4 linked regions of the Elephas maximus indicus genome follow. The protein of the gene in region 3 purifies or fractionates together with the protein of the main gene of each other region. This does not show direct contact. Links are inferred from orthologs where the notes say so. Each region holds a gene or a part of one and is shown on either strand. Other genes may lie near its edges.

The links.
Region 1: the proteins of FBXW7 (region 3) and PRR36 purify together in Homo sapiens (affinity purification with mass spectrometry; 3 studies listed by BioGRID and IntAct, counting the BioPlex papers as one, with this or other methods). This does not show direct contact. The link is inferred for Elephas maximus indicus from reciprocal best matches to the Homo sapiens genes FBXW7 and PRR36.
Region 2: the proteins of FBXW7 (region 3) and RBX1 purify together in Homo sapiens (affinity purification with western blotting; 8 studies listed by BioGRID and IntAct, with this or other methods). This does not show direct contact. The link is inferred for Elephas maximus indicus from reciprocal best matches to the Homo sapiens genes FBXW7 and RBX1.
Region 4: the proteins of FBXW7 (region 3) and MED12 purify together in Homo sapiens (affinity purification with mass spectrometry; 3 studies listed by BioGRID and IntAct, with this or other methods). This does not show direct contact. The link is inferred for Elephas maximus indicus from reciprocal best matches to the Homo sapiens genes FBXW7 and MED12.

Annotation. Positions count from the first base shown.
Region 1 is NC_064821.1:12,609,600-12,616,494, reverse strand, and holds the start of PRR36 (proline-rich protein 36), read left to right. Parts: upstream 1-3,865; 5' UTR 3,866-3,933; intron 3,934-4,477; 5' UTR 4,478-4,484; coding exon 4,485-4,743; intron 4,744-4,855; coding exon 4,856-4,955; intron 4,956-5,209; coding exon 5,210-5,322; intron 5,323-5,405; coding exon 5,406-6,895.
Region 2 is NC_064822.1:185,113,804-185,121,325, reverse strand, and holds the start of RBX1 (E3 ubiquitin-protein ligase RBX1), read right to left. Parts: upstream 3,043-7,522; 5' UTR 3,010-3,042; coding exon 2,932-3,009; intron 1,016-2,931; coding exon 937-1,015; intron 1-936. UniProt on the Homo sapiens protein: E3 ubiquitin ligase component of multiple cullin-RING-based E3 ubiquitin-protein ligase (CRLs) complexes which mediate the ubiquitination and subsequent proteasomal degradation of target proteins, including proteins involved in cell cycle progression, signal transduction, transcription and transcription-coupled nucleotide excision repair.
Region 3 is NC_064831.1:31,103,322-31,110,930, forward strand, and holds the start of FBXW7 (F-box/WD repeat-containing protein 7), read left to right. Parts: upstream 1-4,589; 5' UTR 4,590-7,609. UniProt on the Homo sapiens protein: Substrate recognition component of a SCF (SKP1-CUL1-F-box protein) E3 ubiquitin-protein ligase complex which mediates the ubiquitination and subsequent proteasomal degradation of target proteins.
Region 4 is NC_064846.1:98,567,380-98,574,411, forward strand, and holds the start of MED12 (mediator of RNA polymerase II transcription subunit 12), read right to left. Parts: upstream 3,037-7,032; 5' UTR 2,807-3,036; coding exon 2,708-2,806; intron 2,193-2,707; coding exon 2,088-2,192; intron 1,876-2,087; coding exon 1,684-1,875; intron 1,550-1,683; coding exon 1,390-1,549; intron 897-1,389; coding exon 715-896; intron 196-714; coding exon 85-195; intron 1-84. UniProt on the Homo sapiens protein: Component of the Mediator complex, a coactivator involved in the regulated transcription of nearly all RNA polymerase II-dependent genes.

The sequences.
Region 1 (6,895 bases), on a different chromosome or scaffold from region 3:
CTGGGATGCGGCCTGCATCACCTTTTATCGCTCAAGAGATGAAAGGGAAGCAAGCAGAGAGTTGGGGAACCTCATGCCACCTAGATAGCAGCACTGGGAGCAGAGCGTGTCCTTTGGACCTGAGGTTCCTGCGCTGAGATGCTCCCAGACCAAGGGAAGACTGAAGACAAGGACCTTCCTCCGGAGCCGACAGAGAGAGAAAGCCTTCCCCTGGAGCTGGAGGCCTGAACGCAGACTTTTAGCCTACTGGACTGTGAGAAAATAAATTTCTCTTTGTTAAAGCCATCCACTTGTATTTCTGCTACAGCAGCAGTAGATGACTAGGACAGTTGCCACCCCCATGACATGTCAACACTCTTCCCTTCTCGACCTTGGATTCCCCGTTACCAGTTTTCCTGTCCCAACCTGCCTTCTCGTCCTTGCCCCTGGGCTGGCGGTGTACCCATTTAGTCTTATTATTTTCTTTTATGGGCCTGTCTAATCTTTGGCTGAAGGGTGAACCTCAGGAGTGATTTCAGGACTGAGTTAAAAGGGTGTCCAGAGGCCAAACTCTCTAGGTTTCTCCAGTCTCTGTCAGACCAGTAAGTCTGGTCTCTTTTTTTGTGAGTTAGAATTTTGTTCTACTTGTTTCTCCAGCTCCGTCTGGGACTGTCTATTGTGATCCTTGTCAGAGCAGTCGGAGGCGGTAGCCGGGCACCGTCTAGCTGTGCTGGTCTCAGTCTGGTGGAGGCTGTGGTAGTTGTGGTCCATTAGTCCTTTGGGCTGATCTTCCCCTTGTGTCTTTCTTTGGTTTTCTTCATTCTCCCTTACTCCAGATGGGTGAGACCAGTGGAATATCTTAGATGGCTGTTTACAAGCTTTTTAGACCCCAGACGCTACTCACCAAAGTAGGATGTAGAATATTTTCTTTATAAACTATGTTATGTCGATTGAGCTATATGCCCCCCAAGACCATGATCCCCAGCCCTCAGCCCCGTAATTCGGTCCCTTAGGGAGTTTTGATGTGTCTAGGAAGCTTCCGTGACCTTGCCTTGGTCAAGTTGTGCTGACTTCTCCAGTATTGTGTACTATCTTACCCTTCAGCAAAGTTACCACTTATCTACTGTCTAATTAGTGTTTTTCCCTCCCCACCCCTCCCTCCCTAGTAACCATCAAATATTGTTTCTTTCTGCGCATAAACCTTTTCTTGAGCTTTTATAATAGTGGTCTCATACAGTATTTGTCCTTTTGTGGTGGACTTATTTCACTTGGCATAACGCTCTCCAGATTCATCCATGTTGTGAGGTGTTTCACAGATTCGTCATTGTTCTTTATTGTTGCGTAGTACTCCATTGTGTGTTTATACCATAGTTTGTTTATCCATTTATCTGTTAATGGGCACTCAGGTCGTTTCCATCTTTTTGCTACTGTGAATAATGCTGCAATGAACATGCGTCTGCATTTGTCTATTTGTGTGATGGCTCTTATTTCTCTAGGATCTATTCCTAGGAGTGGTCTATGTTCAACTTTTTTTGAGGAACCAACAAACTGTTTTCCACGGTGGCTGCGCCCACCAGTTTACATTATTCCCACCAGCAATGGATGAAGTTTCCAGTTTCCCCACAACGTTGCCAATACCTGTTGTTTTCTGTTTTTTTCTTATCTCTGACATTCTAGTAGAAGCCTGAGTGGTGCAAGCAGTTTGCCACTGGCTGCTAACCCAAAGGTTGGTGGTTTAAACCTGCCCAGCAGCTCCGCGTAAGAAAAACCTGGTGATCTGTTTCCGTAAAGATTATAGCCAAGAAGACTCTTTGGAGCAGTTTTACTCTGTGACACATGGGGTCACCAGGATTCAGGGGCCAACTCAATGACAACCGACGATGGCTAAGGATGCCGAGCATCTTTTCATGTGCTTGTTGGCCATTTGAATATCCTCGGTGAGATGCCTGGTCTAGATCTTTGCCCATTTTTTAATTGTGTTGTTTGTCTTTTTGTTGTTAAGTGAGCATTCGCTTCTGACGCTACTACCTCTCTCTCCCATCTTCTGAACCTCAACTGTGGGCATAACTCCCAGAGCGAGAAAGCCCAAATCCTTGTGTCCATCCACAGCCTAGTGACGCCCACCCACCTCTACCCTACATCATCCAGGTGCCAGTCTCATCCTTTCCTAAGTCCCGGAAGGGCGTGTGCGTGTGGAGTGTGTGTGTGTGGTGGGGTGTGTGTGGTGTATGGTGTGTGTGGTGTATGGTATGTGTGGTGTGTGTGTGAAGTGTGCTGTGTGTGGTATATGGTGTGTGTATGGTGTACGTGTGTGGTGCATGGTGTGTGTGTGGTGGGGTGTGTGTGTGTGGTGTGCGTGTGATGTACGTGTAAGTGCGAGTGATGGAGGTAGTGCTGGGGCAGAGGTAGCTGGCTCTTTGGGGTGCTGTGGGGGGGTGCTGCGAGTCTGGAGGAATGAGGCATCGAGGTGGAAAGCAGCAAAGCACAGTGAAGGGGCATGACTGACACAGGGGACAAGGCACAACCTCCAGGACAAGAGGAGGGGCAAGAGGCCAACTGAAGATGGCCTTCTCTCTCCTTCATGCTTCCTCCCCTTCATGTCAGCTCCCTATCAAGGCCCTTCACTGAGGCTCCTGTGCTGGTTGGTCAAGTCACCAGAATGACACCTCCTACTGCCTGCGGGGATCCCTGGTGGGAAAGTGGTTAAGAGCTCGGCTGTTAACCAATCGGTCGGCAGTTCGAATCCAGCAGCCTTATGGTCAATTCTCCTGGCGACTCCATATGTTACAGAGCAGAACTTCTCCACAGGGTTTTCTTGGCCGTAATCTTAACAGAAGAAGATCACCAGGGCTTTGCCCCGCTGTACTGCTGGGTGGGCTCAAACTGCCAACCTTTAGGTTAGGAATCTCGTACCAACTGTTCGAGCCATCCAGGGACTTTACATGGGGTCGCCGTGAGTCTGAAATCAGGGCGACAGACTGTTTTTGTTGTTGTTTTTTACTCCTTGCAGCTGGGCTGGGGCCCTGGGTTAGGATTTTCTCTGCACCTCCTTCAGGCACCTGTTTTGTCACCTCCCAACTTCCCCACACTCAATTCTCTCCTTCCAGAGCCTGGCTCCCTGGGGAAGTCTCTGTCGGGGTGCTCTGCCCTGCAGAAAGCTGGGGTCACCTCTTGCCATTTTATTTGTCTCTCTGCCTCCCTCTCCTTCTTTCTTCTTGTATTCCCCAAAATCTGCGTTTTTCCTCGCATCCCTTAAATCCCCAGGGCTGTCTCCCAGCAGCTCCCCTCCCCAACCAGGAAGGGGATTTCCGGGGTCTGGGAAAAGCCTCCAGGTGTTTAGAGGGGCAAAGGCCCCCCAAGGACGTTGGTTGGCGGGGAGCCCGGCCCCCGAGGTCGCGAAGGCGAAGAGACCAGGGCCACGGAGCGTCAGGGTTGGTCGATTGAGCCAGAGGCGCTTTGGTCCCGCCCCCTGGTTGCCAGGACCCAGCCTATCAGCGTCCGGGAGGGTCTGGGCTGCCAGGTGGTTGGGGTGCGGACCGGGGCAGGTGTGTGGGTCGGGGGATGAGGGGTGAGATGGTCGAGAGGGGCTCCCCAGAGATTTCCTGGAGGTCCGTCGCGTCCGGTCTCGGGAGTCCTCGGGCGGCAGCAGCAGACACAGGTCGCCCCCAGACCCCGGGGCCGCCGTCCCTCCCTCCAGCGCGCGCCTCTCCCCCGCCCCTCGGCGCGCCCCCGCCCGCGGCTCCGGCTCTGGTTGGAGCGCGCGCCCGGCCGCCTCCTCGCGCGCACGCCCGCCTCCCCTCCCGCGGCCGAGGGGCGGGGCCGGCCGGCTCCCCCGCGCCGCCGCCGCCGCCGCCGCCCCCTCCCCTTGTTCTTCGGCTACAGAAGCCGCCCAGGCTTCGGACCCGTCCCATCCCAGGCATCCGGTGTGCGAGCGGTAGGCGGCCGGAGCCGGAGGTGAGCGCAGCAGAGCAGGTGGAGGGCCGGGCGCGGGCTGGGCTGGGCGGGGAGGGGGCCAGCCGAGACGCGGCTCTTTGTCTCCTGAATCCGTTCTCGGGCAGCCGGAGCCGCTCCTTCTACCGGCAGGTGCCGGGGTCCCTGGGGAAGGCCGGGGAGGGTGCTCCGGGCCTCCTCCCCTGCTCTGGAGCCCGCGGTGGCTCCCTGTCCCAGTGACTGGCCGTCTGGGTCCCCGAGGGGGCGAGGGTTGGGGGCGTGGATCTCGGGTCCTGGAAGGGAGCAGGAGGGGCAGTGGGGCGGCGGTGGGCCAGGGCGGGCAGGGCTTCCAGCATTTGGGGAAGGTGGTGGGGTTGGGACTTGGAGACAACCAGCTGAAGAGCAGCGCTTGTGGGTGGGTAGGATGGAGGGAAGCGATGGAGGCGCAGGCTGAGGTTCCGGCGCCCGTGAGTGGCGGTGCTGGGGAAAAGGCAGCAAGGACCCTAGTCCCCGCAGGCAGCATCACGGTGCAGGACCTGGGATGCTGATGGGTCACTCTGCTCATCAGGTGCAGGATGGACAAAAGGGACAAGGCCAAGGCTGGGGCCACTGCGCGGACACCGGCTTCTCGCCCTCCTGGCCTTCCGACCCCTAGGCCGCCAGGGTCTCCTCGACCCCCTCCTCCAGTAACCACCGCAGCCCTCCGAGTTCTGGGAGCAGCTGGGCGAAGGCCCCTGGCAGAGCGAGCCGGGGGCATGGGGGGATCCACTCTCCCCAAGGCTGCTCCCCGGGTGGGACCAGCGCAGAGCACCGGGACAGGCACCCGGAGTCCAGGTACCCCAGCCTCTTTCTCCGACCCCAGCCCTATCTCCCCCGCCCCTTTTCCCGAGGCACTAGCCCCACCTCCTGCCTTCCGGGGCACAGCTGATTCGGCTTGTTCCCGCAGCCTCCAGGCCCCCAGAAGCTGCGAGAGTGGAGCGGACCCCTGCCAAGGCTCCGGGCCCGGGCTGTAAGTCTAGCCCGGCACATGCCAGCGGGACAGCCAGGTAACAACATCTCCCCCCGCAAAAAAAAAAGCCCCTAGGCAAGGGTTTGCGTCACTATCTGAAACCTTTTAATTTTACACATAAGTTGAGGGGGCGTTTGAACGTTTGCAGATTCCTGGGCGCAAGTTGTGTGAAAGCCGTTATTAGTCTGTGGAGAGGGTAAATGCCCCATTTCACAGATGGAAAAATGGAGACTTGGGAGGTCAAACAAGGAGCTAGGGGTCTGCCCTGAGCACTGCCCCTCCCTTCCACAGGGTGGGGCCTGCTGGCCAGAAGGGACTGCGACCCTCAGCTGAGGAGCCTGTGGCCAGAGGAAAAGCCCCGGGGGCTCCCAGAAGGAGCGGCCCTAGCGCCGGGCCGCGGAGAGGTACATGACCTGGGGAGAAGCGAGGTTCCTGGGCAGTGAGGGAGGACCTGTGGTGACCCTTTGGCCCTCTGCTTTGCCTCTAGACTCTTCCAGGCCCACTTCCGGTGCTCCATCCCCGGTCGTCACCCGTCGGTCCCGGTTGCCCGAAGCCGAGGTGGGACTCCCCCTGGCAGCTCCGAGTGCCCGGCCGCGGCCCCTAACCGAGGCCCCCAGGAGATCAGTGAGCAGCGCGGTGGAGCGCAGCGCCGCTGAACCGAGCCCCACCGCCAGGAGGCGGCCCAGTGCTGGCGGGGGCCTCCAGAGGCCAGCCTTGCGCCCCCTGGGTTCCAGCACTGCCCCTCTGTCCTCTCCAGCCCGCTCCGGGGCCTCGGCCCGAGGAACACCGTGGGCTCCGGGGCATCCTTCCCAGTCCCAGTCAAAAGGACCCCAGGGTCTGCGCCCCCCGCAGGCCACACCCCCAAGGAAGGCCGCAGCCTCTGGGCGGAGCCAGTCTTCCCCTTTGGCCACATCCTCTCCGCAGGGTCCGAGCGCACAGCAGGCACCACCTACCCAAATCACTGCCTCCCGGCTGCCTGCCACGCTCCCTCCTTCTCCACCGACCACGCCCCCTCTGCCCGTCAACTTCGGTCTTCAGGCCCTGCCCTCCCCACCAGCAACATCCCCTTCCCACGACCTCACCTGTTTTCTGACCACGTCTCTTCCATTAACTCCTCCTTCCTCTACCCTCCCTCGAACGACCCTCCCCTCTCCACCAGCCACACCCCCTCTGCAAGCTCCACCCTTTTGCCAGGGTAAGTCCTTTACTACTGCCTGCGCCTCTCCCCTGGCCACGCCCACTTTTCTGGCTCCATTCTCTCCATCAGTTTCACCCCCTCTGCAGAGTATGCCCACTACCCAGGCTTCTCTGGCTTTGTCCCCTCTTCCTTCTCCTTTGGCCACACCTCCTTTGTTGGCTCCTTCGCCACCAGCCACACCCCCTCCACAGGCTCCAATCTCTCCGGCAATATTTCCGCTGAACCCGCCCTCTCCTCTAGCCACACCCCCTCTGCAGGGCCTGCCCTCCTCTCTGGCCACGCCCCCTACTCAGGCCCCAGCTCTCTTGTCTCCATCTCCTCTTCAGGCCACGCTTCCGAAGCAGGACCATCTTCCTCTGGCCACAGCTGCTCTGCAGGCTTCTCTCTGTTTCCTGACCACACTCTCTCCGCAGGATCCTTGTCCTTTAGACTCTCCCTTGGCCACACCCCTCCTACAGGTCCCACCTTCTCTGGCTTCACAGCCTCTGCAGGTCCTTCCCTCTCCCTTGGCCACGCCCCCTCCACAAACCACTCCCCCTTCTATGGCCACGCCTCCTCTGCAGGCCGCTTCTTCTCCCCCTGCCTCACCCCTTCTGGGAGCCCCTCCCTCTCACCCAACCTCACCCCCACTGCAGGTGCCTCCCTCTCCCCCTGCCTCATCCCCTCTGGGAGCCCCTCTCTCTCCCCCAGCCTCACCCCCTCTGCAGGCCCCTCACTCTCCCCCTGCCTCACCCCCTCTGCAGGCCCCTCCTTCTCCCCCTGCCTCACCCTTTCTGGGA
Region 2 (7,522 bases), on a different chromosome or scaffold from region 3:
TAGTGAGTGGGAAAGTGGTTGAAGAAGCTGGAGGGGCAGGTAAGTTATTTAAAAAGTAAATGCCCATAATTTCAATTCTAAAAACTTAAAGTTTCTTTGTCCCATGTCTGATCTCAACAACAAACCATTTTAACACCTGGATGAAAAAAGTTAATTTCAACTGTTCTTAGTGTCAGAAACCCTGATGGCGTAGCGGTTAAGTGCTACGGCTGCTAACCAAAAGGTCGGCAGTTCAAATCCACCCAACGTTCCTTGGAAACCCTATGGGGCAGTTCTACTTTATCCTATAGAGTCACTATGAGTCAGAATTGACTCTATGGCAATGGGTTTGGTTTGGTTTTTTGGTTCTTGGTGTAATCAACCTTCTTGCCCAGTCAACAGCTATAATCAGATGTAGTATGTGTTAACCACCATGTGTAATGAAATATATGGAGATTAAAATAAAATTTCTTTAGTGCAATTGCCTATTTAGAAGTTGGTGGTGATATCCTCTTTACAACGTTTGGGGCTAAAATCAAAAATCCTTACTTCTTAGGTTTTTCTTTATAAATGCTGCCTAGCAAAAACTAGCTCAGATAGAATATTTTAGCTCCAAGTTTAGTTTCTTCCTTTTGCTATTTCTGCCTTTGAGTCTGGGTAGGAGACAAGAAACATAAAGAGAAAGCATCAACAGTGCCTCTGTGTCCACAATTCATTCTAAATGTGGCCTTGCCATCTTTAGATTGAGTAGATCTATTTTGAGAGCTGGGTATGCCTCCAGGACAACATAAAAACCTACTCTATTTTAAACACACCAAAAGACTAAATGCAAAAGACCCCAAGCACTTCTGACTATGCTTTATAACTCTCTCTGTGACCAAGAAAACTGGTCACGTCAGGATAGCCACAATCCCTGTAACCTTCTCAACTTCCTCCCCTCCTCCTCCAATTACTTACAAAGATCCATAATGTGGTTCCTGCAGATGGCACAGTTATCAACCACAATATCCCAGGCCCAGAGGGCTACTGCATTCCACTGCAAAGAGAAAAAGGGGAACAATGCACTCGCCTTGTAACATAACATACACACACACACACTTCAAGTTGCATACCGCAGCAGCAGTTACCATCTCTTTGGCCACAGGGACCACCAAACAAAACAGTTTTTTCATATTACTCTTAGTTATTATATCAAATGACAACAGTAAAATTCATGTATATTCTCCCAATCTCTCAAAGGCTGATGTATGAACGCAGAATTTAATGTATCATCTTTGATCTTCTCCCTATAGCTTAAAATAATTTAAATCAGTCATATTAATGTAAGCAAATCATGAATAATTTTTAAGTGCCTGTTCTGGCATTAATAAGCACAAACTTGCATTACTGTGCAGGTTCCCCAGGCAGCTGCATAAGAACTCAGTATCTGCATAAATACCTGTGCTGCAAGGCAGCTTTGGAAGGCTGAGTGGGGAGGGGACAGCTAGGAACAGAATGAACTAAGATGATGACTGGATCATAGCATGGGTGATCGTGGGATAAGCTGGATAACTAACTACCCACTGTGTCAGTACACATAACAAGGTCATCACTCGAATCCTATGAAATCACTCCATAACCAACTCTAGAAACCACTAGAACTTTGTTTAGTTCCTACCATCAAATAAACTGATGCTCTCAACGCTTACATGCTCAGACGTCTACGTTTTGTTAAGAGAATTCTGACAAAAGTTTATCTAAAAGTGGTACTTAATTCAACCTTCCTGCTTCTGCCGCTATAAATACTCTGAAGCTCCCTTTTCATCCACTAATTTGGTGCCACCCCCAACACCATCTCCTTCAAACCTAATTCTCTCTGTGTCTCATAACTTCAGCACTTTTCATCCCACACCTCCAACTTGGGGGGAAAAAAAAGCGAGTTCTTTTATTCTTCAACATGGCTGCGGGCTGTAATTGAGCAGGCAGTGCCCACAATGAGCCGCCAAAAAGCACTTTGGATGGGGAATGTCGTCCGTGTTCAGACAGGTCGTCCAGGAATAACACCTTTCCTATTTCAGAATCCTCATTTTGAACAGATTTATTTTATCTTAGGTGGGAATCGACACATTTCTCCCAAACTGTTGGCAAGCCTAAAAGGCATTTCATGCAGAAAGACACGTTCCACATTCATGTTTTCCCACTTTTACCAAGTCATTCTTTACTAGCACTCAACCCTCCCTAAATGCCACAAGGTTTGGGTTCACATTTTAACGAATTCCACTATGCTTTCTTCTTTGTGGTGGGGAGCGTAAGGAGGAACTCTGAGCGTGACGGGGAACCACAGGGCTGGCAGTGCTGTGTAACAAACCAACAGACTTCTTAGCAGAGCCAAGCTTCTCACTTGAGACACTTTAACTCAGCGGGGTAAAGGCCAAAGAGAGGGTTAATGGAGGCCTCGACTGCGCGAGGACCAGCAGGGCACCCTCAGAATCAGAGAGGCTCCCAAGCTACAGAGAAGGGCGGGGCAAGGGGATCACCAGCCCGGCTCAAAGGCCTCCACTGCGGTAGGACCTCGGGTTCCCGGCTTTCGCCGCACTATCCCATCCTCCACACACCGCAGTCGCTCCGACTCCCCCATCCACTCACCCCACCCACTCCTTCCTCCACCCCTCAACCACTCCAGTGACAGCTCAGGCGCTTGGCTCCCGCAACCAAATCACAACCCCGCCTATCCCAATAAGCGCCTCCGTGATTGGCCCCACTGCTTCACGGCGAAACCAACACTGCCTCTGACACTGGGCCGCCGTCACGCTAATCAACGCTAAGGCCCGCCCCCCGGCTTCCTTTCGTGTACCCGGTCCCAGGAACGCCCTGAAATGAAGCCCTTTCCTTCGCGCCTCGGTCACCCTCGGGCCTGCCAGCCAGATCCGCGCCTCTCTAGCTTCTTTGAGGAAGGCGCTGGCGAGACCCAACCTTTTTCACTTCAAAGCGCTTCTTGCCCGCGCCGCTGTTGGTGCCGCTCGGGGTATCCACATCCATCGCTGCCGCCATTTTGGAAACACACTGTCTGGCGTCTGGCCACTGCGCAAGCGCAGGAGTGCACGCCTCACTTTCCCCCCACCCCCGAGCCCCTCCTCCCGCGCCCCACCCCACACTGGCGCGCACGGGGCAGTAGGGGCGGAGCACATGGCCACGCCTCTTAAAGGCGCTGCTGCGGTTTCCCCCCCGCCTGGCGGCCGCGAAGGAAGAGGTGGTGGCCCGGGGTCTGGGGCGGGGCCGGGCGGGGCCGCGCCGACGTGAGCAAGCCGGGGGAAACGGTCGAAAGCCTCGCTGTCTCGCCCTCCCCCAGGAAGCCCCCGGCCCCACTCCCTTGCTTGGGGCGGCGGCTGCTTCCTCCTCCTCTGGCCCGACCTGCGGCCGCGGCCCGGCCCCGCCTGGCCGGCCTCGAGGCCCCGGGTCCCCGCCGCGTTAGGCCAGGGAAGGGGCGAGTGTCGGGCGGCCGCCTGCTGCCGAGACCCCACGCTGGCCTTTCTTAGGTCCTGACCCGCATCCCAGCCAGGCTCGGGGTGCAGCCTCCCTCGGAGGCCCGAGGCCTTTTGGTTTCCTGACTTCCATCCGGGAAACGCTCAGGGGTTCGAAGGGGGGAGAGAAGATCCCCGAGCCTCCTTCCCAGGGCCAAATCACTGATCAGGCAACCTCCAGCCCTGCCGTCCCCTGCCCACCAGAAATGGAGGAGGCTTAGGAGCCGGGCGATGTCCTCTCCAGCTCACCTGTAGTACCCGTCAGTCCTAGAGTAGCCTTTGCTTTAGGTGCACGCCTTCAGCTTCACAGGCTTGAGGACCCATTCTCCACTCCTCCATTAGTCAGGTCCTTTCTCCCTCATACCTGTCCTCTTTTCGCTCCTTGGGCTATCGTCATACTGACCCATCTGCAGTCACTGTAATTCTTAATTTTTTGTGGGTACTGCCATTTGTCTCCTGGTCATTCTCTCCCAGCCAAAGCACACATATGTCTTCCCCCATTTCTAGACGAGCCCCCCCGCCCCTTTTACAGCTCTAACTTCGCAGACCTATGATTCAGCTAAATCACTCTTAAATCTTGGTTTATTTGAAATCTCGTATTTTCTCTTAGAAGAAAATTGGAGAGCAGTGGAGTCTGTTATACTCCATTGCTAAACCGGAAGAACTGCGATTTGTTTCCTTGTCTTAGTCATAAACAAGAACAACAAATCCGTGAAAATGCTACCACAGTTTTGACCAGATGTGGAAAGAGAAAAAGTGTGGGAGACCTTAAGGCATTATAGGAACTCGACAAAGTTTTTCATAGCCTGTTTTGTTAATGATTCCATGTTAAAATTTATGCCCTCTAATTTATTGTGTGCCTATGGACTCCTATACCCATGGAAGCAGCAGTCAAGAAATCAAAAGAGGCATTGCGTTGGGCAAATCTGCTGCAAAAGAACTCTTTAAAGTGTTAAAAAGCAAACATGTCACTTTAAAGACTAAGGTGTGCCTGACCCAAGCCATAGTGTTTTCAGTTGCCTCGTACGCATGCTAAAGCTGGACAATGGATAAAACCACCAAAAAAACTGATGCCTTTGGATTATGGTGTTGGCAAAGAATACTGACTATACCATGGACTGCTGAAAGAATGAATGGAGCTGTCTTGGAAGAAGCATAACCAGAATGGTCCTTAAAAGCAGGGATGGCAAGACTAGTCTCACATATTTTGGACATATTATCAGGAGGGACCAGTCCCCTGAGAAGGACATCATGCTTGGTAAAATAGAGGGTCAGGGAAAAAGAGAAAAACCCTCAACGAGATGGATTGACACAGCGGCTACAACAATGGGCTCAGGCATAACCACCATTGTGAGGGCGGTGCGGGACCCAGAAGTGGCTCATGCTGTTGTACATAGGGTAGCTGTTGAGTTGGAACCTACTCAGCGGCACCTAACAACAACATACTCCTGCATAACTTCTAGAAACCCATATAAGATTAAGGTATTGAGGACTTCATTATTCACCATTCAACAAATTCATTGAGTACCTACTACATGTTGCTGTGTGCCGTCGAGTCGATTCTGACTCCTAGTGACCCTATGTGACAGAGTGGAACTGCCCCATAGGGTTTCCCAGGCTGTCATTTTTACAGGAGCAGATAACGAGGTCTTTTCGCCATTGGGGCCACTGGTGGGTTTGAACTGCTGACCTTTCAGTTAGCAGCTGAGCACTTAATTATCGCGGCACCAGGGCTCCTTACCTACGATGTACCAGGCCCTATTGTTAATAGGAGAAACACAGTGATGATGGAGTCAGACCTTTCTAGTAGAGAAGTAATACACAAAGTCAAGAGCAGAAAACTTCAGGTAGAGAGGTAAGTCCTATGAAGAAAACAAAACAGGGTGAGATTGAGGGGAAGAGAGGGCAGTGTTAAGTCAGGTGATTAGGAAAGGCCTCTGTGAGAAGGTGACGTTTAGCTGCAGCCGAACCTGAGGAAAGAGCAAGTGCAAAGGCCCCGAGGCAGGAATGGGCTTGAGAAACAGAAGGCTGGATTTGGCTTCCAGAACTCCATACTCCTCTCCATTTTCTCCTACCTCACAGACCACACCATCTCAATCTCCTTTGTTGGCAACTGGGCTAGGTTCTCAATCCTCTTTTTCACTTACATTTACTTCCTTGGGTGATTTCTTCCCATGGCTTTAACGTAATGTCTACATACAAATAATCCCCAAATTTATATCTTCAGCCTTTGTACTTCTATATGTGGCAGGCCACTTAACATCACCACTTTGAAGTCCATAGATCTCAAACTTGACATGCCCAAACTGACCTTCCGATGGCCCAAAACCTGTTTTATCTACAGTTTTCCACATTTTAGTTTATAGCAACTCCATCCTTCCAGTTGCTCAAGCCAAAAACTTTAGAGTCATCCTTGGATTTCCTTTTTCTCAACACGTGCCCTTGTTGTATCAAGAAATTCTGTTGGAAAGACTGAACTGGACCATAAGACACAAAATTATACTGGTTAGGAGTGTGCTTCTTAGCTCAAGTATAGACACATGAGACTGAGCAGCTTCTGTCTGGAGGCGAGATGGGAACGCAGAGGGGGACAGGCTGGTTGAATGGACTTGGGAAATACAGGGTGGAGAGGAGTGTGCTGTCACATTGTAGGGAGAGCAACTGGGGTCATATAACAATGTGTGTCTAAATTTTTGGATGAGAAATTGTAAACTTTCACTTAAAGCACAATTTAGAAAAATACAAAAGAAAAAATTCTGTTGGCTATACCTTCAAATCGTACTCAGAATCTGATGCTTCTCACCATCTGTGACCGCTCTGATGTGAATTACTGCAATAATCTCTAGCTAGTCTCCTGTTTCTAGCCTTTTTGCCCTCCCTTTACAGAGCAGCCCACAGATCTAATTTTACAGTATAAGTCAGATCCACTTGTCTTCAGAAAACTCTCCAGTGGCTCCCCATTTTACTCCAGAAATGCCAATGTCCTTATGACGATTTAAAAGGTCTTGCATGATCGGCTTCTCCATTCACTTTGCTCTTTTTTTTTTCTTCTTCTTTTTTCTTTTTAACGGAGCCCTGGTGGTGCAGTAGTTAAGAGCTTGGCTGCTAACCAAAAAGTTAGCAGTTTGAATCCACCAGCCACTCCTTGGAAACCCGATGGGGCAGCTCTACTCTGTACTATAGAGTCTCTATGAGTTGGAATTGACTTGATGGCAATGGGATTGGTTTGATTTTGGTATGCCTTCTAATGGGGCCCTGGTGGCACAATGGTTAAGCACTGAGCTATTAACAGAAAGGTTGGTGGTTTGGAACCTACCCAGTAGCTCCAGGGGAGAAAGACTGGAAATCTGCTTCCGTAAAGATTTCAGCTTAGAAAGCCCTATGAGGCAGCTCTACTCTGTCACATGGAGTGGTCTGAGTCGGAACACCTTCTACTTTACTTTGTCATTTACTACTGTATTAGGTTTATTGTTTATAGTGTGTCCTCACCAAGAATAGGTATTTTTGGTTGTTAACTGGTCACATTGTTCATGCTCAGTATGTGTTCAGTGAATAAATTTAGAGCTTATTGAACAAGGCAAGAGTGGTAAGAGATGTCAGGGACGTAGGCAAAGGCCAGTTAAGGTGGGGATTTTATTACAAAGGTTATGGGAAGCCATTGGAGGGTTTAAGGTAGGGGACTGACAGTGACTCTTGTGAAGAAGCGACTGTAGGGATGCAAGAGAGGATGCAGCAACCATTTGAAGATTGTTTGCTTTGTATGCGGTGCCTGGCTGGTGCATGGCTGCTGTCTTAGTCATCTAGTGCTGCTATAGTAGAGATACCACAAGTGGATGGCTTTAACAAAGAGAAGTTTATTCTGTCACAGTCCAGTAGGCTAGAAGTCAGAATTTAGGGCGCTAGCTCCGGGGGAAGGCTTTCTGTCTCTGCTGGCTCTAGAAGAAGGTCCTTGTCATCAATCTTGCCCTGGCCTAGGAGCTTCTCATCACAGGGATCCCGGGTCCAAAGGACGTGCTTTGCTTCGGGTGCTTCTTTCTTGGTGG
Region 3 (7,609 bases):
TAAAAAAATAGTCCTACAGTCTTACTTTTAAGAAGTTTAAAAATAGAATGAAGTAAGCTATAATTATTATTTTGGAAAGAACTTAACACAGCTATAACTTATTATTTGGTGGTATAACCTTATCTGAAATAAGGTGGAATGCAAAAGAATATTGGAAAATGAGGCATCAGAGATTAGACATTAGTAAGGTAAGACCGCACTTCACAAAAGAGAAAATCCAAATGTCTAGTAGATATATGAGACGGTCCTCAGCAGCATCAGTAACTAGGGAAATGCAAGTTAAAAGCACAATGAGATACTACTACACACCCATCAGACTGGCGAAACTGAAAACGACTGACATTAGTGAGTGTAGTTGAGGGTAGGGAACAATGAGATGCAGACACAGCTGGTGGGAGTGTAACATTTTAGAAAATAGCATGGCATTATTTATTCGAGTTTGGTGATACGTATAACCACTCCCAGGTGTATATATTAGAGAAATTGAGGTAGATATGGTAGAAGACATATATGAAGAATGTTTACAGCAGCAGTGTTTATAAGCCTGCAAATGGAAACAACCCAGATGTCCATCAACAACCGAACAGCTAAATAAATTGTGACATGTTGCTACAATGGAACCCTGTAATGTGCACCAATGAAAAGGGATAAATTACAGCTAAATGCAACAACATGGATTAAAATCAATGTTTTGAGAAAAAGAAGTACAATAGATTACACGCTATGTAAATATGTAGTCCCTGTTAAATAAAGTTCAAAAGAAAGGGCAAAACTGAACAATATATTGTTTAGGGATGCATGCTTGTAATAAAATAAAGGAAAGTGAGGAAATGGTTATCATGAAAGTTAGAATAATGGTTACCTAGAGCAGGGAGGGCAAGTTATGGTCAGGAAAGGTCACCAGGGGGCTTTGGGTATACTTGCAATGTTCCAATACTTGACCTGGTTAATTGGTTACATGGTGGTTTCCTTCATCATCACTCAATGTACTGTATAACTGTTTTATGCATTTTTATGTATACTTCACAATGAAAACGCTAAAATTGATGTACTAGATGAATTGCATATGGTATCTTTTAGAAATAAGCTATTTTGCTGAATAATTTAGCTTATTACATCTTTGACAGTAAAAACCACTGATGTGGGATATTAAAACCTTGATTAAATAGTTTCTAAGACCTCGCTTTCGTGGGTTAGCGGTAAAAAAACACTATACAGCTATCCCTTTGTTATGTTTTACCATGATACGCAGATCTTTGTCATGAACAAATTGATGAAACAGGAAGACCTGTTACCTAAACTTCAGATTTTTGAATTCTGAGTTAACTAGCTCCTCTGAGTTAATAAGCCACACAAGGAACAAAAGTAGAAATTGGAAATGTTCCTCCTCTCTAGTCACCAGTTCCAGCTGTTCCCTCCTGTTATGGTGGGTGGTAAGGTGGGCCGATCTTGCCTAGTAAGATTGGTGCAGCTGTTGCTTCGTAAGTAGGTGTCTCAGAGCTCTCCTCAGTGACGTTCTATCAGCTCTGAGGCTCTGAGGTGCAGTCACTGACAATACAAACAGATGGGGCTGCTGGAGAATCCTGTGCGGCTCTTCTGGAGATGCACCCTGCTGGCCTGTGGAAGGAACTCTGATGTTTGCACTCTTCTCATTTAAAGCCCCAGGAGCTAAAAATCTGAGTTGTTCAGTTTCACAAACTCTCCTAAGCCTGTGTTTTTTACTCATTCAATTTCCACCATTCCCCTACTGTACGACAGGAAGAGGGACAAAAACCAAAGATTTATTTTGTAGCCATTTGGGGCCGCTGCTTGTTTGTCTGACTTCCTGTGAGTCTTATTTGGAAGGATACAGCAAGGGATTGGTTAGGTAAAGACAATCAAATGCAGGGTATTTATCCTGGTTCTTGGGACTTGAGGTCAAGAACGGTAGGGTCAGATGCTGCTTTGTGAGTCATGCCTTGCTTCTGGAGTGCCTCTCATCCCCTTCTCTGCAACATTTAAATAAAAATGAATCCTTGGATTTGCCCAGTTAGAGGTTTCCTTAGTCTACAGTTTGCATATGGTGGTTGCCGTAGTACCCCAAATCTGCCAGCTTCTATCCCCCAGCTGGAAATACCCATTACTGCTGCTTCCAAGGAGGTAAGGTGTGTGCGGTTCAGCGACAGAACTATCTAACCTGCTTCCTTTCATCATTCCTCCTGCTTTTAGCTCCTTCTCACACTAGCCACCAGGTCAGGTTCAAGACAGATTTCTTAGAATTCTGATCCTTTTCTTCTTCCCCTAGAGAACTACACTTTTAACTTCATGAATTTTTACTTGAATTTATTTTCTAAGCTAACATTTGTCGGAAACGCTGCGTAACAATAATAATATTTATTTCAGAAAAAAAAAGCCTTTGAGTCAGATCTAAAACACATGCCAAGATTTCTTTAAGAGCTTAATGGACACTGAACGACAACCAAGACCAGTCAAGAAGCTACAACCACAGGCAAGAATGATTTTACTAAAAGTGAGGCAGTGCTAAATTCTCCCCTGGAAAAAGTCTGAAATCCTTCTACAATCTCCCAGAGGCTGGCTCTCTTCGAATTCCCCTCTCTCCTGCCCCACCAACGATCTACGGGAGGCTGGCTCCCTTTTACCCCCTCCACCCCACAGCAATTCTCCTCCTTTTTCAACAAAGACTCAGGTCGTGACTTCGTACTCAAGCCGCACCACTATGTAGTTCCATAGGAGGGGGGTACATTACAACTCTCATCTTTATAATGCATTGCAGTTTACAAAGCGCTTGCACTTCCATCATCTCCTCTGAGCTCCTCCAGTGACTCGTGAGGGAGGCATTCATTCATTCATCAAACATCTGCTTGGCCCGACCACAAGCTATCGAGCGCTGCGTCTCATCCCACACCATGGGAAGAGCGGGGCGCTCGCTCCTCCGAGCAGGTGTAGCGAAGCAGTCTACAGGACAACTTCTCGCTCAGTCCGGCTCAGGGCCCCTTTTGGGCCAAATGCCTCACCTTTGGGTGATGCACGCCCGAGCGCAGTCGCACGGCCTGGGCCTCCTCCTAGCTCCCAAAGGAGCAGTCACCACTTGCCCTGAAGGAAACCGCTACAGAGCAAGCTCCCTCGCCGCTCTCAGGTCAGGGGTAAGATCAGGCGGCAGCTTAGGCTCGACTCGGCTCCTCCCCTTCCTCTCTTCAGTTCTGACGCGGCCGCAGAGGCGGCGGCGGCGGCGGCGGCGGCCGCAGCGAGTCCCGCGGCCCGAGGCGCACCCACCCGCTCGCCGATCCCCGACTTCCTCTTCCCTTCGAGCGTCATCAGAGCGCGTCAGAGTTGCCCAGGGCGGGGTGGGTGGAAAGGGAAAAAAAAGGCCAGCGGCGGAAGCCTCAGAGCGGAAAAAAAGGGAGGGGGGACGAGAGCGGTTGCTAGGTGACTTGCGTCATCGACATGCGCCACTTTCCTCCCGCCCCTCTCTCTAGAGTGAGGCGAGAGCTCCGCACAGAGCGAGCAACACTGCGAGCCGAGCTCCCGGCGCTACCGCCACCGAGAGAGTGAGAGCGAGGGAGCGTCCGAGAGACCCAGCCTCTGTGCACTGGCTACCGCCGAGACCTCCGTCCTAGCCTGGGCCAGCAGGAGCCGCGGCCGCCCCTCCTCACCCCCCCTCACCTTCCCGGCCGGCAGCGGCGGCTGCACACGCCGGAGCCCGAGCCCGAGCCGGAGCCGGAGCCGGAGCCGGCGGCTGGGGGCAGGGAGGCGGCGACCGCGGGCCGGGGCTGGGCAGCTTCTCCGCGCTGAGAGGACGCTGAGGAGTGGCCGGAGCTTCTGCCTCGTCCCGGGGCGTGAGTGAGGGACTCCCAAGGTGCAGGGAGGGGGTCTCAGCCGCAGCGACACATGCGGGAGCCGGGAGCGGGGGCGGCGCCGAGCGGAGCCGGCCGGGTCCCTCGTCTCGCCGCCGCGTCGTGTACCTGCCCGGGGCCGTAGCATCTCGCCCGGGAGTGTATGAGCCGGGACTCCAAGCTCAGAAGCCACCCCCCGATTGGGGGGGCGGGGACCCCGATGTGAAGCGGCGGCCGGGGCGGCGAGGAGAGCAGCACCGGCGCCGCCGACCTTCCCCTTCCCCTCAGCCCCCTCGGGGGCCTTCTCCGTTGGCTAGTCGCCGGCCCCCCGGCTCCTCGCAGGGCTCCGGGAGGAGTTCTCAGCGCCCCCTCCCCCGCCCCAGCCCCAGGGCGGCGGGGCCGGGGGGGACCCGGGGGGCCGGCCGCAGCCTCCGCCCAGAGGAAACTTTTTATAAAAACAAAATTCGGCGCCTTCAGACGTGACTGTCTCGGGTGAAGTGGCCCTGGAAGGGCAGAAGCCACAGCCTGACGAGACCCGGGAAGAGGAAAAGAGGAGGTAAGCGGGGCCACCGCCGCCTCTCACTCGGCCGCGCGGAAGAGACCCGGGTGGCCGCCTGGTTTAGAGACACTAGCACCGCTGCTTCCTCAGTAACGCGCCGGAGCCTTCCGCAGCCGCCGCCTCAGTCCGGAGGAGGAAGGGAACCAACCCACTTTCTCAGCGCCACGGTCATTACTCTTCGCTCCTCAAGTGTGAGTGGCCCTGGGGAAGGGAATTGGGGGGCGGGGGGTGTGAGAAGATGCGGGTGTTTTTTCCTGGGGTTTTGCTGATGTTCTCCAGGTGTCCTGGGGGCGTATCGATGAGAGTGTTGCCTGTATTCCCTACAGAGGGGAGATGGTATTAGGTAGTCTTGTGTTTTGTAACCTTGTACCTCTTTGTACGAGTTTTGCCAAGTTTACAGAATTCTCTTAGAGGAGTTCTGTCTTTTCTCCGGAGTGGGTACTTGCACCGGTTTCTGGCCAAAAGGGCAAAAAGAAGCCAGAGCATAGGTGCGCACAAAGAACATCTCCGAAATACACCTTTTCCTGGTACACCGGGTGTGATGCAGTGCTGTAGTTTTTGTTTCTGGGGAGCTCTCACATGGGTTCTCAGGTGGGAACCACTTTCCACAAGCCTCTGAAATTAAGTTTTTCTTTTTTTGCAGTCTTTCTTGAGACAGCTTCATTGATCCAGTTTTTTAATGTTCTCATTTCTATGGTCCAATGTCTGTGTGTAGGGAGGACAGTGTAACAGATTTCAGTTGCTCAGGAAATTCTCAGTTCTTGTGAATCACAACTTATTTGGGTGAGAGCATTTAGTACAGTTTATACAAGTTGTTGCATTTTTGCTTTCACCCAAATGCTTTTTCTTGAGTAGCATATGTCCTAAATGATGGTACTTTTTTATTTGGCAAAATGATTCGAAGTTTTCATTATTTGAGTTATTTTCACTTCTCCATCAATTTAGGAGAAAGTTTTGATATTTAACAGTTTTCAAGAATGATTTTTTTCTTCCGTCATTTTAAAGTTGAAGTCAGTAAGATCTTTGGCTTGTATTTCAGGTAACTTCTCAGAGTACCAAATTAGAGGTGCTTGAAAGTAATTATCATTTGATATATTTATACAGCCTTAAGTGTTAAACATGGAGGGGGATTTTATACAGCAGAACGCAGGTAGTACTGTCTTGGGAATTGTGGTTCATCCAGTCCACTGTTGGAGTTCTCATGGAAGCACTGCTAAGAGATGTTGACTGGGAATGTATGCAAACTTGGGCTTAATTGTCAGTATCCTAAGTTCTCTACTCAGGATCTTGATCAAATTTATTTAAAACTTTCTCAGTGTTTCCATCCTGTACTTTTTTTTTAAGTAGTGAGTTTTTCAGGTTTATTAGTCTCTGAATTATTTAACAGTGCACTTATTTATCTCAAACCTGCATCCTTAAAGTTTCAAAGCATATCCAGAGTTTGTGTTTTGAGAGATGCTAGAAAAAGCTGAAGTTCGTCTTTTCAGTTTCATGATTTTTCTTCTTTACCATCGTCTTTCCCAACTCTTGTCTGTTTTAGAGTAGTTTTTTTCCATCTCCCTGATTACTTTGCTCACTTCTAGAACTTCTCCAACTCTTTTTTTTTTTTTTCTTGAGATACCTGTTGGTGTTATGCTTTTGTAAGGAACTTTAAATTGTATGTATTTTAAATGGCTACTGGGATCACAGTATTGAGTAGTGGATATAGCGTTAGACTTGGAATCAGAAACAAATACCCCTAAATCTGTTCTTATTTTGTGACCTTGGGTAAGTCATGTATTCCATGTTTCACAAAGATATGAGGAAGACAGATCTAGTCTTGCATAGGCTGTATTTTGGAAGAGGGTAGGACAAACCAACAAACTGTAGTTGAGTGTAGATTGTACTTGATCAGAATTGCTTACCGAGTTTAACCCAAACCAAACCCTTTGCCACTGAATTGGTTCCAACACATAGCATCCCTGTAGGACAGTAGAACTGCACCGTAGGGTTTCCAAGGGTATAATCTTTTACGGAAGCTGACTGCCATATCTGTCTCGCTGGGTGATGGGTGGGTTCGAACTGCTGAACTTTCAGTTTGCAGCAGAGCGCTTAACCACTGTACCACCAAGGCTCCTGTTTACCAGCTTTAGGACCTGCATTTTATTGCTTTGACTATAGATTGGGTAAAAAACCATGAGAATGTTTTATTGTATATTTTGGTAGCAAAGAAGGACAAAGCAGTAGGGGGTCCCTGTTTTTAAGATGCTTTTCTTTAAGGGCAGTGGAGGCAATCAAACACAAATTGCACAGAATTGTAGGAAAGGGCGAATGAACTAAAGTGTATTTAAGACTACTATATGACTGAGGATCCCTGGTGGTGCAGTGGTTAAGAGCTACGGCTGCTAACCAAAAGGTTGGCAGGTCAACTCCACCAGCTGCTCCTTGGAAACCCAGTGAGGCAGTTCTGCTCTGTCCTATAAGATAGCTATGAGTTGGAATTGACTCCATGGTAATGGATATATGACTGATAACTGTGTTTTGGTACTTTGTAAATGTGAATGTATCTACATTTTTCATTAGGGTAATGTTTGTGCTGGACTGTACAGAACTAATTGGAGTATCTGAGCCAAATCTGGGACAGTCTTTTCAGGGAAGCTCATTTACGTTATGTTTTGGAGAGAAAAGAGCAAGTGGAAAGTGGAATTGGAGACTTCAGGTGGGAGAGGCAGATGTAATTAGGAAGCTAGTTTGATGGGAATACAGAGGGTGGGGTTGCGTATGGTTAGGGTCAGTTTATGTTTGTGCAGATTCATGGGTTATAGCCCAGAAAAGCAGTTGAGAACAATGTTCATGAGTGGGTAGTTTCACATGATTGGGGAGAGATTACATTTTACGCCAAAAGCATTATGCCTGGATTGGGATTTTGTTTTTGTAGGAAACCAAAAGTTTTTTGCCATGGTCACCGAGGGGCTATACGGAGGAAGGAGTGAAAAAGAGCACTGGAAAAGGCCTCCAGTATTTCAGTGTGATGGTAAACAAAAAACAGTCATTGCCATCGAGTCGATTCCAACTCATAGTGACCCTAAAAAAAGAATTTAGTAATAGGACAGTGAACTTTGTTTGGGACATTAAATTCTAAGGTAAAAGTTGGGTATATGGATGTAATCGTACTACAACAAAACAGTGAAACAAACAAGTGAAAAAACAGAGAATGGGTGAGACTCTCCCTAAAATT
Region 4 (7,032 bases), on a different chromosome or scaffold from region 3:
CCTCTTGTTCTCTCCAAGGGACACTGCTCTAAAGTTTATCCTTCAAGTCCCCCCTATAACCCCCTCCAAGTCCTAGTGCCTTACCCGAAGCAGCAGAGGCAGCAGCAGTTTAAGCAACTCATCCTCTCCCGGGCGGATTTTCTCAAAACACTCAAGTACCCAGGTCAGGAACTCATGCCTGTCCAGCATTCCATCCTATAGGTACCGGGGTGGGAAGAGTATTAGTTCAGTCTAGGGACTATTAGAGATGAGGCAGGAAAAGTAAATGACCATTCCCGAAGCCAACTCTTCAGACAGGGACTGGACTGGACGATGGGTTGGAGAGGGATGCTGGTGAGGAGTGAGCTTCTTGGATCTGGTGGACACTTGAGACTATGTTGGCATCTCCTGCCTGGAGGGGAGATGAGAGGGCGGAGGGGGTTAGAAGCTGGTGAAATGGACACGAAAAGAGAGAGTGGAGGGAGAGAGTGGGCTGTCTCATTAAAAAAAAAAGTGTGTAGCAAGGTGTAGATGGGTTTTTGTGTGAGAGACTGACTTGATTTGTAAACTTTCACTTAAAGCACAATAAAAATTATAAAAAAAAAAGCAAATGAAAGGATGAAAGAAACCACAACAGGAGCAAGGTGGTTGGCTGATTCTGTTCTATACTGGCAGAGAGCAAAGCAAGGTAAGGCTCAGTTCGATGCCCCACACACTACATGCCCTACTCCCTACCTGAAACATGAACATGGCTAGCTTCTCGTTGTAATCCCACTGCCGGATTGCCACCTCCACATCATGGGGCAAAGGCCCGATAGTGGAAGCACAGCTGCCACTTCCTGCAGGCCCTGGCCGGTAGTACTCAGCCATCTTCTGCAGCTGCTCCCATAGGTACTTGGTGATGATCTGTGTCCACTCTAGAGGAAAGATAGAAGAGGCTATTTTATACTGTCCCTCTGTGTAGAATTTCTTCTGTCCCCTACCCCCACCCCCAATCACATACTTATAAATCCTATTCAACTTCTTAGGCTAGAGTCAAATGCCACCTTCCTAAAGCCTTCCCAGTTGTCCACCAAAGAAAGTAAACTTTTTGCTGACTGAAGTCTCAAAGAATTTTCTGCCTCCTCTTTTAACATTTGCTACTTTCTATATTTTAATTATGTTATTTGTACATGTGCCTTAACATCCCTACTAGACAATAAGCACGCGAAGGGCAGGAATTATGTACTAGTCATCGTTATAGCCCAGTACGTGCATATTACTTATACTCAAGATACTCAATGTTTACTAATTGAGTGAATGCAAGATACAAGCGGAAGAATGGAATATAGTTTAGGAAAGAGAATAATTCCAAGGATTTATCATTCTTAGAAAGGGTCAGTGATACACCTGGTGTTAGGAGTTACTCACCCATGAAGGGGTCAATGACATGTCTCTTCTTAACCTTGGTCTCAGTGATTGCTGCATAGTAGGCACAGGTCATCTTAATAAGCCAGGCGGCTCGCATCACAGGCACTGTGTATTTGGCTAAGTACCCAAAGACTTCTTCCTTCTTACTGAAAATCGGGACCTGGATGGACATAACAAATAGTGAGGTTTCTATTACCCCATGAGCTGGTATCGATGTAGCTTAATATGGGAATAGCAGCATACTTGGTATCCACACTCCCCCCTTGGCCCGAAGAACAGGAAAGAGTATCTCACCTTTTTGGCTAGTTGTGTGAGTGGCTTGGTGCCAGCCAGGTCCGTGAACCAGGTGTTAATGGCACTCTGGGATCGTGCGGTCACCAGCCAGAAGTTGTCCTTCTGGTTCACTTGGGGCTTCCTGCGACCAGTGTCAGGGAGGGTGTTACAACGTAACTTCTCTGCAATAATGCTGCTGAAGTTGGAACTGATCTGAGGGAAGAAAACTATACCTCAGGGTGGGAAGAAGGGGCAGATAGGTGGTTGGTTGTGCCTTTGATATACAAATACCATTGTTGTGGCATTAGGTTACAATGGAAAACTCAGCCATTTAGATTGTCTCTTTAAGTCTTCCCAACCCAGGGCTTTTGCTCCTTCTCAGATTCTTCCAGCCTTTTCCCTTCAGTCTGGCAGGGTTGCCTCACCTTGGCAGGATTGAAGTTGACGTTCTTGGCACTGCCATGTTCATCCCCAGAGACAGCAGGCTGGTTATTGAAACCTTGCTTTACATTCAAAGCCGTCAGTTCATCCTAAGGCAGGAAAATGACATTTTAGCTTTTTTTCCCCCCCTGGGCGTAGGAAGGGTGAAAGAGGAGGGCAAGGGGAGGGAAGGTACAAGGAAAAAGGGTAGAAGGATGATTCTGAGTAAAATAGATTGTTATTTAAGGCTAGGCTCTTTTACTCATTTGGACCCCACCCTCACCTCCTCAGTCACTAAGATTCCCAACCACCCAGTACTCCCTCAACATCACTCTTCCCTAGAGAACAGCCTTACCTCACCAAGCTACCGTCAGACAACTTTCTGAAGCGTATGTGTATACGTGTGGGGGGATGCCTCTGGTGTGGCCCCTACATCATTCCCTATTTATAGCCAGAAGCCCCCATAGCTAGGTCCTACTCTCCCACACCGCCCCACTTTACTCTTCCCCCTTTCGGGACTTTGCTCCCACCTAATCGCCTCGCCCCCTCCCCCAAGCCGTCAATGCCTCCTCCTGTGCTGATCGCTTGTCCCTAGTCCCGCAAGAGCCCCGATTAATGAACGCACCTCCTTCTGTTTGGGATCTTGAGGGTACACATCGGGAGGCCCCAGCCGCGGCCGCTTCAGGGGCCGGTGTTCGTAGCTCAAGATCCCGAAGGCCGCCATTTTGCCCAGCCCGTAGCGCCAGAAGCGCCAGCAGGGATAGGCTCAGGCGGGGGAAAAGGGGGAGAGGGAGCCGAAAAGGGGGGCGGCAGTTGGGGGGACGCGGCCGAGAGACAACGAGGGGGAACGTTACAAACTCTCGATCACTGCCGGAAACTACCGAGTGAACCCGAGGGACACCGGGAACCGTCCGACAATACCGACTGCAGTGGGGGCGGGGCCGGCCCAGCGTGGGGTGGAGCTCCGTGCCCAGAAAGCTTTTCCTACCGAGCGGCGGAAAATCTATTTCACCCAGCAAAAAAAGTCTGTGAAACGCTCTTGAGCCAAGTACTGTGCTGGAGATACAAACTTCCAAAGGCGGAGGCAGCCGTGGTGCTGAACCAGGGTTCTGAGCTGTGACTGAAATTGGGTTCCCAGCGCCTACCTCAGTTCTTGGCCTAGAAAAGCTTCTCAATAATTATTCGCAGTGATTCGAAACTGCCTTCTACAAGCTACTTCTTCGTTTCTGCAACTGAAAAGTGAGCATACTGTTATGTTCTTCAAAGGACTGTTGAGAAGACTAAAAACTATGTATGCATAAGAAAGCACCTATCAAGCCCTGAAAGGCTGTCTCTATCCTCTAAAAAGAAAAAAACCCACTGCGGTTGAATAGATTCTCATTCATAGGGACCCCCTCAGGGTTTCCAAGGCTGTAAATATTTAAGGAAGCAAACTGTCACATCTTTCGCCCGCGGAGCCGCTGATGGTTTGGAACCGCCAGGCTTTCAGTTAGGAGCCCCGGTGACAGTGGTTAAGAGCTACAGCTGCTAACCAAAAGGTCGGCAGTTGGTAATCCACCAGCCGCTCCTTGGAAACCCCGCGGGGCAGTTCCACTCTGTCCTGTAGGGTTGCTGTGAGTCAGAACCGATTCAACAGCAACAGGTTTTTTTTTTTTTTTTGAATCTTTCGGTTTGCACTCATGGCTTTAACCGCTGCGCCACCAGGGCTCCTTCTCTAACCTGGAGAAGCCTTCATATGGTCTAGTGTTGAGGTTCTTAATCTTTTTTGATTCACAAGCCCTTCAAGATGCTGATGAAAGCTATGGGCCTTCTTCCCAGAAAAATGCACATATGGACATACAAAATGTCAGATATTTTCCAGGAATATTTTTAGATCCCCAAAGCTCATCTATGTATTCCCTAAGTGGCCATGAATCCCAGGTTAAGAACCATCGCTCTAGCGAGAAAAAAAAAAAAAGTGAGAGGCACCTATTAAATGTTAGATGAATTTCAAACATTATCTCATTTAATCCACAAACAACCCCATGAGTTAGGGATTATTATTGTCCCCATTTACAGGTAAGGAAGCTGATTTACTTGCCCAATATTATACAGCTAATACAGAGTTACTGTACCAAAAAGAACTTATCGATGTTCAACCATTTCAGGAGGTAGCATATGATCAAAGTCCAAACTGCACTGAAAACATTGGTGAAAAACAAGGCTCTAGAAATTGACTGAATACCAGTTGAGATGTTTCAACAAACGGATGCAACGCTGGAAGCGTTCACTTGTCTATTCATAGACATTTGGAGGATAGCTGCCTGGCCAACTGACTGGAAGAGATCCGTATTTGTGCCCATTCCAAAGAAAGATGATTCAACAGAATGGGGAAATCGTCAAACAATATCATTAATATCACACGCAAGTAAAGTTTTGCTGAAGATAATCCGGAAGCAGTTGCAGCAGTGCATCAACAGGGAGCTGCCAGAAATTCAAGCTGGATTCAGAAGAGGACGTGGAACAAGGAGTATCATTGCTGATGTCAGATGGATCTTGCCTGAAAGCAGAGAATACCAGAAAGATGTTTATTTGTGTTTTATTGACTATGCAAAGGCATTCAACTGTGTGGATCATAACAAATTATGGATAACATTGCGAAGAATGGGAATTCCAGAACACTTCATTGTGCTCATGAGGAACCTGCACATAGATCAAGAGGCAGTTGTTCGGACAGAACACGGGGATACTAAGTGGTTCAAAATCTGGAAAGGTATGCCACAGCTCTTAACCACTACACCACCAGGGTCAGCAGAGGGTCAGTGAAAAAGAGGAAGACCCTCAAGGGGATGGATTGACACAGTGGCTGCAACAATGGGCTCAAACATAGCAATGATTGTGAGGATGGCTCAGGACTGGGCAGTTTCGTCCTGTTGTACATAGGGTCGTTATTAGTCAGAACCGACTCGATGGCACCTAACAACCAGTGAGTAACAGAGGAAGAACTAGAATCCCTTCTTGACTCCAGAATCGATATTCTTTTAGTAGGGTATCACCTCTTAGAGATGAGATAGCTAGAGTGCTATAATAAAAGTACGAAAGGCAGTTCTACTCTGTCCTATAGGGTCGCTGTGAGTTGGAATCGACTCGATGGCAGTGGGTTTAGAGGGTAGGAAGAATAATTCTGATTGGGGAGAGGAAAACATGTTGGAGGAGGTAACATTTAAGTTTACCCTGAAGGATTTGAATCCACAGAGAATTATCAGTTGCCATTGAGTCCATTCTAACTCATGGTGACCCCATGGGTGCCAGAGTAGAACTGTGCTCCATAAGGTTTTCAACGGCTGATTTTTTGGAAGTAGATTGCCAGGTCTTTCTTCTGAGGTGCGCCTGGGTGGATCCAAACCTCCAATCTTTCCATTAGAAGCTAAGTGCGTTAAAGGTCTGCACCTCCCAGGGACTCCCACAGAAAAGTAAAACAAAAAAACAACTTGTTGCCGTCAAGTCGATTTCCAACTCATGGCAACCCCATGTGTTAGAAAGTTAGAACTGCTCCATAGGATTTTCTTAGCTATAATCTTTACAGAAGCAGTTTGCCGGGCCTTTCTTCCATGGAGCTGCTGGGTGGGTTCGAACTACTAACCTTTAGGTAGCCAATTACACAGAAAATTAGGGAGAGGCTAATCCCAGTCAGATGGGAGCAGTGGTGGTTCAGTGGTAGAATTCTCACCTTCCATGTGGGAGACTTGGGTTCAATTCACAGCCAATGCACTTCGTACGCATCCATCACCCATTTGTGAGTGGTGGCTTGCCTGTTGCTATGATGCTGAACAGGTTTCAGCAGAGCTTCCAGACTAAGAAAGAAGAAAGGTCTGGCAGTCTACTTCCAAAAATCAGCCAATGAAAACCCTATGGACCACAATAGTCAGATCTGCAACCAATCATAGGGATGGCACAGGGCCAGGCAGCATTTTGTTCTGTTGTGCATGGGGTCACCATGACTCAGGGGCCAACTCAAAGGCAGTGACAACAACAACAGCAACAGCAACAATTCCAGTCAGAGAGTAAATGCCTATGACATGTCCAATATGGCTGGATGTGATGATTGGAATTTGGACTTTACCCTGAAGGCCATGGGTAGCTTTTGAAGACTTTTAAGTTGGAGAATGCCCTCTGTAGTGGGTTGAATGGCGGCCCTCAAAAGATATGTCCACCAGGAACCTGCGAATGTGATCTTATTTGGAAAAAAAAGGATCTTTGTAGATGTAATTGAAGTAAGGATCTCAAGACGAGATCATCCTGGATTGGAGTAGGCCCTAAATCCAATGGCAAGTGACCTTATAAGAGAAGAGAAGGGGAAAGGAGGCACAGAGGAGAAGGTGACGTGACAATGGAGGCCGAGAATTGCTGGCAGCCACCAAAACCTACAGAAAGGCTGGAATGAATTCTCCATCAAAGCCTTCAGAAGGAACCAACCCTGCCTGCACCTCGATTTTGGACTTCTGGTCTCCAGAGCTGTTGGAGAATAAATTTCTGTTGCTGTAAGCCACCCACTTTGTGGTCATTTGTTAAGGCAGCCCTAGGAAACTAATACACCCTTGAACATTAGGGCTAAAAGAGACTTTAGAGGGTGTCAATACAAGCTTCTTATTTTTAAGTAAGTCCCAAGGGGATAAATTATTTGCTCAAATAATAGCTATGAAAAGAAAACTATAATCCAGATGTCCTGAGACTCCAAGTCAAATGCTCTTTTCTTCTGCCTGATGTCCTGCCCCTTTTCTGTCTGGTAAAATTCCACTCATTCTTTATGATTCCTCTAAAATAGCACCCCTCCAGCTGAGCCTTCCCTTAATTCCCCCGCCCCCCCATCCTGGTAAATTTAGTTACTTCCTCTTCTGTGTTCACACACTTTGCAGTATCTCCATATTTATGCTCTATAACTTATTACGCTGTGTTTTATTATTTGCTTGT